Linked DNA regions of Schizosaccharomyces pombe. The protein of the gene in region 1 binds, or shares a complex with, the protein of each later gene. Each region holds a gene or a part of one and is shown on either strand. Other genes may lie near its edges. The genes, in order: rrp43, csl4 and rrp42.

Evidence for each region.
Region 2: rrp43 (region 1) and csl4 share a complex: the UniProt entries of both Schizosaccharomyces pombe proteins name them as parts of the RNA exosome complex.
Region 3: rrp43 (region 1) and rrp42 share a complex: the UniProt entries of both Schizosaccharomyces pombe proteins name them as parts of the RNA exosome complex.

Annotation. Positions count from the first base shown.
Region 1 is NC_003423.3:3,331,182-3,334,921, forward strand, and holds rrp43 (exosome subunit Rrp43), read right to left. Parts: upstream 1,765-3,740; 5' UTR 1,589-1,764; coding exon 1,545-1,588; exon of another isoform or gene 1,447-1,544; coding exon 1,111-1,446; intron 1,005-1,110; coding exon 572-1,004; 3' UTR 501-571; downstream 1-500. Other genes in the region: dph2 (diphthamide biosynthesis protein), read left to right, coding at 1-315; RNA polymerase I upstream activation factor complex subunit Acr1, read left to right, coding at 2,422-3,174. UniProt on the Schizosaccharomyces pombe protein: Non-catalytic component of the RNA exosome complex which has 3'->5' exoribonuclease activity and participates in a multitude of cellular RNA processing and degradation events.
Region 2 is NC_003421.2:2,277,127-2,280,803, forward strand, and holds csl4 (exosome subunit Csl4), read left to right. Parts: upstream 1-2,141; 5' UTR 2,142-2,206; coding exon 2,207-2,752; 3' UTR 2,753-3,160; downstream 3,161-3,677. Other genes in the region: U6 snRNP-associated protein Lsm8, read left to right, coding at 776-800, 855-1,023, 1,087-1,177. UniProt on the Schizosaccharomyces pombe protein: Non-catalytic component of the RNA exosome complex which has 3'->5' exoribonuclease activity and participates in a multitude of cellular RNA processing and degradation events.
Region 3 is NC_003423.3:4,229,884-4,233,641, reverse strand, and holds the start of rrp42 (exosome subunit Rrp42), read right to left. Parts: upstream 1,702-3,758; 5' UTR 1,690-1,701; coding exon 1,442-1,689; exon of another isoform or gene 1,376-1,441; intron 1,345-1,375; coding exon 693-1,344; 3' UTR 446-692; coding exon of another isoform or gene 1-445. Other genes in the region: BAG family molecular chaperone regulator Bag101, read left to right, coding at 1-445; kex1 (serine carboxypeptidase), read right to left, coding at 3,179-3,758. UniProt on the Schizosaccharomyces pombe protein: Non-catalytic component of the RNA exosome complex which has 3'->5' exoribonuclease activity and participates in a multitude of cellular RNA processing and degradation events.

The DNA.
Region 1 (3,740 bases):
CACTTTAGTCTGATTACTGGAAAGTTTGTGAATTCAACCCCGATGCGACATTTAGACGTTACTCTTGAGACTGCCGATGCAAAGAATAATGACTCGTCCTCAGCCTCTATAGAAAAGCGTGGCATGAGAAGTCTTGCAGTGAACGGGGTTTACTCTCCAGCAGCGGCGTTTCTTCAGTCAAAATCTTGGTCGGGACTTGACAGTGTAGATGAAGGAGAAGGTCCTAGTAAATTATACGAAGGACAGAGTGGCATCGCCAAAGGATATGTTGGTGAAGGCAGCAAAGAAAAGATTCAACGTGATTTTGGTAAATAAATCGGGTATTGAGTTGATCATTCTTCCTATGCTTGTGTTTTAGAGTTTGACAAAAAAAAGTTTACTGGTTAAAGGAGATAAACAGGGTTCATAAGTTATATAAAAAAAATTTCCTACAGCATTTGAAAATCAATTAGCTTTATGACTATAGTATTTTATATTACAGCAAGATCAATATTACGTTTCAAGCATTAAAAACGAACTTGAATATTTTCAAACTTTCAAAATTTATACACCTTGATAACCCAAAAATTTGTTAGAACTTAGACCTTGCAACCTCAATACACTTTTTTAATAAAAGGGGTTGAATGTGAGTGCCTCCAAGCTTTATTATCTTAACAATATTTTTGGAGCTATTAAGCATAATTGTCAAAAATTCAGTTGAAAGGTCCTCCTCCTCGTCTGTAGGGTCGGCTAACAACTTGTCGTCAAATACTGACCATGAGAAAGAACGAACTTCAGTACTTAATTGAACTGGTCTTGTAAGGGTAGAAGCACAGATAACCCTCTCTAAATCTTCATCCCAAACAGCAGTTGGTAATTTAACAGTTTTTAAAGCGGCAAACAAAGCTGCCCATGCATAATCGAAGGCACTTCCATCATAATTTAAACAAATAATATCAGCATACAATACCCAGGCTGCTTTTTTTTCAAAAATGCATAGGGACTGTAAATTAATCAAGTTAGATCTGTATAAGTTGTTAGTAAAAGTAACTAAATATTCTAAATGATAGTTTAACAATAAATGAAACGTATGGTAGAAAATTAGAAAAATTCCAATAATTTGATACATACTGTTGCAAAGTCTGATGCAATTCCTGCGAGACAACTTGCGCCAAGTCAGAAGGAGGGCCAGGTTTAAATTTGCTACTGCAAAGAGGTGATAATTCAAGATTGGGAACAATCCAACCTTCATTGGGAGAGTTTTCAAAAGGTTCAGCAATTTCTGCTTTTATTCCACACACAAAGACATTTTCGCCAGCTCGAATGATAGCACTACCATTAGCAGTAGATATGCAATTATCATTAATTACAATTTCTCTGAATTCTGATACAGACCGCCCATCTGATCGAACATCCTGATTAAGAAGATGTGATAAATACTGCTCAGGCGTGATTTTCTTAAAAATTCTATCCAGTAAAATGTTAGTACTGTAACAAAGAAAAACAAAGTGAAAAGGAAACAGAGCACTAAAAAAGATAGAATAAGAAATCAAAGAGCAACTTACGAAGGTGTAAATGAAAGCTGTTTTACCCCCGAAACAGTTTTCATGATGTGAAAAGAATGTAGTGTTTCAATAACGAAGCTAAATGATATAGTAACGTAGAAAGACCAAATAACTGAAGAACGATACTGAAAAATATATAAAATGAATATGAATCACAAGAATTCGATATATGTGCTGAATTTTGTCTACAGGTTGAAATTATGAAATGGAGTAGAGGGATGAAATAGGTGTACGAAGTAAAGTATGAAAAACTTATATGGTAAATAAAAGGTTTGTGAGGTCCTTAAAATGTTTAAATTCCTTGGTTTTTTTTTAATTTATTGAAGGTATATTCGGTGCAAATTTCAATTAAGGATTGATAATTCATTTGAATTTTAGCTACAAAATCCCAATTCGTTTAAACGATTTTGAAAAAAGAGATCACATAATTAACATTTAAAAATGCTAATTCGAAAAAAATTTATTTAAGGCCTTTTCTACTGATTTTTTTTTTTTTAAAAAAAGGTAAAATAACAAAATTTACAATGATCCATGGTTAAAGAAAATAAGGCATAATTAAACAATTAAAAGTCAGCAGAATACATACGGAATTTGGTAAGTAGCATAATATATAGCTCTTAAATTAAAGTAAGTTATTTGGGTGCATGTTTATATTTCAAAATTTGCACACTCTTAGTTTATCGGTTGTTAGACGAAGCAAAAGTCTTATATTAATAAAAAAAAGGAAAAGTTTTTTTCTATTAGATTATAGTTAAAGGAAATTAAAAAAAAAAGTCAGTAAACACACTTAATATCGCGCCAGGTACAATGACCTTTCCTTAACCTCTAGCCTACGAACACAACAGCCGGATGCTAAACCTTCTGAGGAAATGATGCTATGAATGATTCTGAGGAAGAATTAGAGCAGCAAGGAAGTCAAGAGGATATTTCCTCTTCTCAGGATACTTCGGATGAAAAAGAAATGCGAAAGCAAGATGCTCTATACGCACAGCTAATAGAGTATCGAGAAATTGTTTCCGAACTGAGAAGATCTGAGATGAAAAATTTGTGTATTCAACTTTATTGCAGTTATAAAGCTGGTATAACTCGTCGAAATGAATTGCAAAGCGATTTGGACGGTTATGAACGAAGGATTCCACCACGTCTACGTGCAGTATGGCCTACAATTCATTCCATCCCCGATGAATCATTTTTTGATGGAACCTCGGCTTCGAGGTTTCGCCAAGAGGCTGCATATTTGGCTGTGCGTTTAGCATCAAAAAAATTACACAAGTTGGGTAGAATGGCTTCTTCTGAGGAACTGCCTAATCCGGATGGCCTCCGATACTTGGTTGAAAGGTTACAGATAAAATTGGAACGCCTTTTTGATTCGGTTGATACTTTTCGACAAGAACAGGGAAGCAAAAGCATGCAATCACGTGTAAAGCCTATGGATTGGAAGATTCTTTACGGACTTGCTCGAGTCACAAACGGTTCGTTTTCCTCGTCGCAAAAAGCAGACGTTCTTGCATTGGGCAATGGTACAAGAGCTTGTCAATCATTATTCAAAGAGATGTCGTTACAACCTAGTATTGATATTGAAAAAGTTTCACACTCTAACCCAGAAATCTCGATAGAATTTGAGGATTAAGAAATTGGTGGGAAATTTAATAAGTATGAGTATTTTGAAAAAAAACACGCATCTGTGAACAGGTCAATCTGCGTAAGTCTCAACAATTAATGTTCCAGTAAACATCTTTTGGCTGATGTATATGTTTAATTATTTGTGTAACTCCCGCCGTATTTGCACATATAGTTTTTCTGCATCCGAATTTCTTTTCTTTTTTTTTAAGTTATTTTGTTTTTGCGTTGATCTAGGAAAAAGGTTCTACGCAACAAGAATATTGTTTCAACTTTATCATGCTTACAAGTTCATCCTACACTTTAAACTGGAAGTGGCAAGTATTTGCTGAGGTTAAATCTTTACTGTTATGATACTGTTTTCCAATATATCTAAGTTACACAGTTTTACTAAATTGTATAAGCTATTTAACAGTCTATGCAAAGCTGATGGTGTGTTCGTTTAAAATAAGGGCGGCACGTGGTACTGTAACTTGAAGTCCGATGTAGAAAAAATGTGGAGATTAAGTGATAACAAATACTACGGAAATAGTAAAAAAGTCATAGAGAAGCGAAGAACGAACAGTTGCCGGATGG
Region 2 (3,677 bases), on another chromosome or scaffold:
TAGTACAAATTCTTTCTATTCCATACGTTCTTTGCTGAATAAAGAGCGAAGACCGTCCCCTTTATATTCGAGCCGTCATTAATTTTTCATTCAAAAACTAAGATAGTAAGGCACATCGATAACAATCTAAAGTTGTGAAAAAATTCTTATAAAACGGAATTCTTAAATACTTATTTCTTCCAAATTATTTAAGCAAACCTTCAAAAGAAGAATTATCCTTCAATGATTTAAACTCAACAACTATCAAATGAAGTAATTCAAGAATATAACTGTAGTCAAATATATACATCTATATTCCCCACGTCCATAAGATTTGTATATTTGTTTACAACGGGTATTTTTAGTTAGAAGAACGGTTGCTTGTAATGATGAGGAAGGATTCGTGAGCCGGATATAGCTGGAATAATGTTCAATACCTTTTCCTTTAATAGATCTATTTTACAAAATAAATTTCGTTGATTAATAAAACAAAAGATCATTTAAAAATCGTGCGCTTCACAAATTACTTTAATTTTCTTTTGACACAAGATTGTGTTCCTTTCCAAACTAAAAATATAATTGGGTTACTTCTTATATTGATAGCAAAGTTAGCTTCAAAATTTTAAGACAAAAAGGTGTTTTCAATTTGATTAGTTTATTAAAATTCTTGATTTTTTTGTTTTTGCTGTATGTTTTATAAAAAGTATCATGTCACTTGAAATACATGCTGTAAGACTACCTACTTTTGTTTAGCACTACCATACTGTAATACAACTAATACTTAAATCACTTTATCATGAGTCTTGCTGATTTTATGGAACGTAAGTGTCAAATTTTCAATAGAGAATGAAGTGACTAATATAGATGTTCGTTAGAAAGGGTTCAAGTCATTACAAACGATGGTCGCGTTGTGCTAGGTTCCCTGAAGGGATTCGATCACACGACCAATCTTATACTTTCAGACTCATTTGAAAGAATTATTAGCATGGATCAAGACATGGAAACAATTCCTTTAGGCGTTTATTTATTACGTGGAGAAAATGTGTAAGTGGACGCAGAGCCTTGTACTGGCGGTACGTAAATCAATAATCTAATAGTTATTTTTAGAGCAATGGTTGGATTAGTGAATGAGGAATTAGATTCAGAAATAGAATGGACCAAAATTCGAGGTGAAGCAATACCTGACGTTGTGCATTAATACAAAAACCGGACGTTAAACTTCAAATGAGAACAAACGTTTAAGGCTACATAGGATTTGGGTTAATGATTTTTTTGTTATATTTCCTCTTTGTGCGGGCGAATCCTTTGCAAATTTTGTTAAGCTTTCCACGATATATTCATACCTTGCAGCATGTCTTTTATCAGGAAGCTATTAGCTCGTAGAAAGAAGTGAAAATTCTTTCTTTATTTTTTTAAAAAAATATGACTGAGGTTGTAGATTAATTCTGATGACAAAGAGTTGACACTTGAACGAAAATACTTAAAAAAATGGTTTAAAATACCGAGTTCGAGGACATCGGTTCTTTCAGAATTTAAAAAATTCTTGGTTTCTTGTTAAATTTGTGGATCACAAACTCATTTTTCTTCTTATTTTGTGGGTTTCATCTTTCTTAAATGATTCTTGGGAACGTTAACATACCTTTGTTTCCTTAATTTGATTTATGCACTTTGATTTTGAAATTTGTGGTCAACTTGTTTAAAGACTTTATATTTATCATTGATTTTTGTTATTATATGGAAAAAAACATCACAATTTATATCATTTACTGTGCATAACATTCTTCATTTTTGCTGTCACGCTTAATGTTTACACTGGAAAATTTCTCTACCTTGAGAAATATTTCAGCATCATGGTCCAATTTACAAAGATCATTTGAGTTAAACAAAAAAAATGATTTATTATATTTGCTGCTCATATTTTTTTTTTAGTGATTTTTTATTTTGGCATCGTTTTGTGAACTTACTTTCCAAGCTTTGGGATTATCAAGAAAAAATTTTTGTTGAAAGAAGAGCAGAAAAACTGTTTGATAATTAAATGCCTTTGCAATTTCATTTTCTCAATTTAGCAAAATAAACTGAAATTTCTGCAGCAGTGACTTTAGGTTACATTGTAACCTACAGTTTACAACGACCTTTGTGCTTACAGCAACTTTTTTTCAATTAATTTTTTACAGCCATACAAAACGGACTTGATTCCTTTATTTTTAGTTTATTAAAGCCGTTAAATATGAATTTGGTTCTCCCTGGACAGGTGGTCGCGAGAGGGGCTCCTAACGGTGAAGGAACGGTAAAGAGAGGAGATTATATTATTTCCACACGAACTGGCATCTTTGATCCAGAGAAAAATTCTGTAACGTACCCAAGAAAAGTTGAAGAGACAGCCGTTTTACCTAATGTCGGATCTATTGTTTTAGCTCGCGTCAGCAGGATCAATGCTCGTCAAGCAACTGTAAACATCTCAGTCGTTGACGATGTCTGCACCAAAGATGAATTTCAAGGGGTAATACATGTGCAGGATATTAGAGCTACTGAGAAAAATAAAGTCAAAGTGCAAAATTCATTCCGACCGGGTGATATTGTCAGAGCACTTGTAATTTCACTTGGAGACGGCTCTTCGTACTTTTTAACAACAGCTCGAAATGATCTTGGTGTGATTTTTGCTCAGTCTAGTGAAACAGGAGAGCAAATGTTTCCGGTGGATTATCAGCATATGCAAACAAAATCAGGATATACGGAAATGCGTAAATGTGCTAAACCTATATTAGACGAATAAAATGAGGGGATAAAATTGCTTTGTTTTGATATAACCTGATAGTTTTTTTTCCCTCTCGGTTCGTTCTTTCCTAACAAAAAAAAAATTCTGAAATTGTTAGAGATTTTATGATACGAATATACGGAACACGGATAAAAATAATATTGAATATAGAAATATTGGAAGTTCATTAGAATGATGATTGAGGTGACTTGCTGTCGAAACCGATATCATTTTCAATTAGAAGTCAAATGTATAGTTTTATAAGATATAGAGAACCTTTGTAATTCAACTGAACGGACAGGAGCTCTGAAGTTTCTTAAAGTTATTTACTTAATGGAACTGAATTGGTCGGTTGTTTATAAACTCTAATTCATTAACAAAAACATGAATAAGGAGTTTCTAGCAATAATATGTGTTATGTTTACAACTTTCTAAGAAGGTTACTGTATTAAGTTATTTTGTGTAATTTAATATCGAGGATTGCACCTTTCATTGGAGGCTGTGATATCCTGAAATAACATTTATGATCACAGATTTAAGGATGAAGTATTTAATGACATGAAAATTAGTATTCGTACACCTCTCAGTAACTTTTCAAAACTACTTTCAGTTTTTACATTAAGGGATTGGATGTACTTTTTATACACAGTTTTATAAAATACTAGGTTGTCTCTAAACATCAAGTATCATCTCAATCTTTACTTTCGGCCATTAGACTGATATATTTTATATCAATTAATTAGTAGACAACTGTTTCCAGATTCTCATATAAGCACGAGAGCTTCTATTCTACCCGTCTTTTCCGTATATAGCTGTCATGACTCATTAAGCTACTCCAGCGTGAGACTATCAAATTTAATCTCTTCATCCCTAATATTTGTTTGTAAATACTTATAATTGCAAAATATTCCATTACCATGACATCAAATAGAGGATTCTAAAT
Region 3 (3,758 bases), 900 kb from region 1:
TTACGCTGGCAAGCGTTTAAAAGACAAAAAAGCCTCGTTATCAAAATTGGGTTTAAAAAATCATAGTAAAATTCTATGTATAAGACCACATAAGCAACAACGAGGTTCCAAGGAAAAAGACACGGTTGAGCCCGCTCCGAAAGCGGAAGCGGAGAATCCTGTATTTTCGCGTATTTCTGGAGAAATAAAAGCCATCGATCAGTATGTTGACAAAGAACTTTCCCCCATGTACGACAATTACGTAAATAAACCGTCGAACGATCCAAAGCAGAAAAACAAACAGAAACTAATGATAAGTGAACTACTTTTACAACAGCTTTTAAAATTGGATGGAGTTGACGTACTGGGCAGCGAGAAATTGCGTTTTGAACGGAAGCAACTTGTTTCTAAGATCCAAAAAATGTTGGATCACGTTGACCAAACAAGCCAAGAAGTGGCCGCATAGGCTTTATTATTTTTATAGACGTTACCATTTCATTTCCCTTAAATTATTCCCATCTACTATACTTGCTATATGACTTTGACCTAAACGAAATACAATGACCAACCATAGTAACCAAAAATACCGATGCATGCCTCTTCATGTAACAAAATTGATCCTGATTCCGTAACCCAAGTATTGCATTTATATATATATATAGAGAGAAAGATGCTATTATATAGGAAATGGAGACCAACCCAACCCAATTCATTTATGGAAGAATATCAAAAAATCCTAAACCCTTAAAAGATAGAATATCGCTGCTGGCGTTCAAAAGCTTAGTACCAACGGTAGACGCAGTCTCTAACAATTCTATATATCGCTCTACAGTTATTGCACGTCCAGTGGATGCGTAGCCTCCTCCAGTACCCACGACCCTGGTATAGCTAATAGCACCACTAGCTTGAACACCAATCGCATATGTCACTTGAGCGACACTTGATTCCTCAATTGTAGGATCAACAATTATCACTTGATCAATGCTACTAACCAAAATTATGACTGACATTAATTCTAACCCTTGCAAAGGTAATGCATTTTCCCATTCTGAATCAACATCGTATTCTTCGGAAGGCTCATATTTAGTAGATCCAATAGTGATGTCTGTGACATTGGGGGTAGAAATTTTAGGTAAACGTGTAGTCTGTAATGCTAAATAAGCAGCAAGACTTAAAGCTGAAAGAATGTTTTCGTAAGGAGACGAAGAAAGTATTACAACAGCATCTACGTGAATAATCCAAGCTTTAGATGGTGTAAATTTCAAATAGTCGACAGCAAGTGCGTTTAATAAATCCTGAAGGGCACTTGTAAGGAATGAAGGAATTTCATCGGTTTCACGATTCTGGATTGAAACAGATGGAGAACTACATAAAAAGTGTTAGCATACCAGCTTTTTTCAATTGATTCATATTGTTTGTTACGCCAAACAATGTTAATACGAACTCCAAATATCTCACGTACATTTCAACTGAAGCGACATATTTACCACCTTCGGGAGTAGCATCACCCACTTCTGCTTTTACACCTATGACTATCTCCACCGAAGACGCCCATTTAACTCTAGCAGAACCATTTGTACCAGGCAGAACATCTACTTGTCCAGAAAGCGGACGAAGCTGGTCTATCGAACGTCCATCATTCCGAATTGCAGGCTCAAATTCTGTTATTGATTTGTGTGTGTACGATAGTTCTGGTAATGACAATTGCATATGTTGGCTAATGGTATATCGTTTAAGAATAATTTTCCTTGCAATATTGCGTTGAGTTCTTGCGTATATTCTAAAGTTCGTTATGTATGCTACGCAGTTTTGTATCTGTTTAACGATATGCAAAACCGCGATAAGTTTTACATGTGATCTGTTATATTATAATACATAGGTATAACGGCTATGAGTCATTGAAAATATTGGTATATGTAGGTATTATTTATGATCTATTTCTGTTATTAGCTTCTGACTAAAGTGAGGAACGAAATTTAGTTTCCTATTTAAATTGTTGAACATATAAACTAAATATTTGTTTCAGATATCAAATGATTTGCCCCAATATCTATCATCTACGAGGCTATGTTTAAATAGAACATGTTCCAAATGTGATACACAACGTAGTAAATTATAGCGTTGTCAGTACTACTGCGACATGTTTTTTTATTAGCTAAGACTTGTTTATTGACACAGCAGAAAAGGCGCATTCTCTAAAAATTTCGCAAGTTTACATCAGTTGAAAATGCTTGGGCAGTTGGTGCTTCATTATAACCTATTCCTTCAAAATTTTGGATGCAAAACCTACGCTGAAATATTATTTACCACTTTGATGCAATTTGGCCGAGTAGCAATAAGATCATATCTGGTGTTCTGTTCGATAGCGTGCCATCTGTAAGTATCCATCCACAAGCAAGTTGGGCCTATTGGATCATGGATTTAAAGACGTTGTCATCGAAATAAAACTATCCAATTTCTTCTTTGATATAGAGCTAGTTCACTCGTTGCCTAGACCTATTTAGTTAAGGCTGTCTGTAAAATTTACCAAACGCATCAATTGTGTCCCTGATAACGTGCGTCGATTTTGGATTGTCAAATATGATTACAGTAGATCTGTTATTAGCTTGCAGTTCTCCTTTGTTCTCATGCGTAGATGTGATAGAATCCTCCCATTGCTATAGCTTCTAACTGAATTTAGGAACGTGATTCGATTATAAATTATTTATAATAATCGATTATTAAGGGATGTAACGGATTGTCAATATAAACAGACAGATCTCACTAGTATTTATACATTTGTGACACATGTTACAAGACGTAGTTCTCCATGATATACTGTACTATTGCAAACACGTTATTGAGATTAGCGTTTGACGCTAATCTGTCCTATAAAAAAACTACAAAAACTGTAGAACAAACAATAGCTATAAGACAATGTTTGGTACATGATATTTCATATTCATGATTTGAGATCATTTAGAGACTATGTGCAAAAATAAAAATTCAAAGAATGTATCCATAAGTGAAATTTGATTAAAGATGAGAGATAAAATTTATGGTGATAATCGCAGATTTTTTAAAACCAGGGAAGAACGTTCCAAGATAAAAAAATAAATTCTACCACCGATAAAGCAAGATTAAAAGTTAAATGATTAAAATAAAGAGCAGAAAATCTGTATGTGAAAGTAAAAACCGACAGAAAAGATTTATATACAGTCTAAGGAGTTGGAGATATAGGTTGGTAGCGTTGTTTGCTAAGACCAAATAATCCAAATCTCCTGCACAAATAAATTGAGAATAAAATAATGATAGTTAAAGCAACAGGAATCAAACCCAAATAAAGCCATTTGTAGTTTCCATTACCTAAATCCGGAGAGGGTTTAGGTACCGATGGTAAGCTGGCAAAGTCATTATTAAAGAAAGCAGTAATCAAGGTCTTCATTTCATTAGGATGATCGTATGGAACCATGTGACTAGCTTCAACTATGCGAGCAAAGGTCAGGTTCCGGGAACTAACATAGGAGCCCGATGGTTGATCAGAATAGCCCGGAAGATAAAATGGTTGAGCAGATTGATTTTGAAAACCAACAGCACCATTCCACTCCAGTGATCGGGTTAATTTTTCGCCAGATAAATAATTACAAAGAAAGTCATTTTCGCCGTAAAACAACAAAATAGGAACCGTAGATACAAGGTCCTGGATTAACTTAGATGAGGACTCAATCCCTTCACGAGCATATTGTAGGGCAACGTCGTCATTACATTCTTCCCAATCATGAACCTTTTCGAGGTTAACG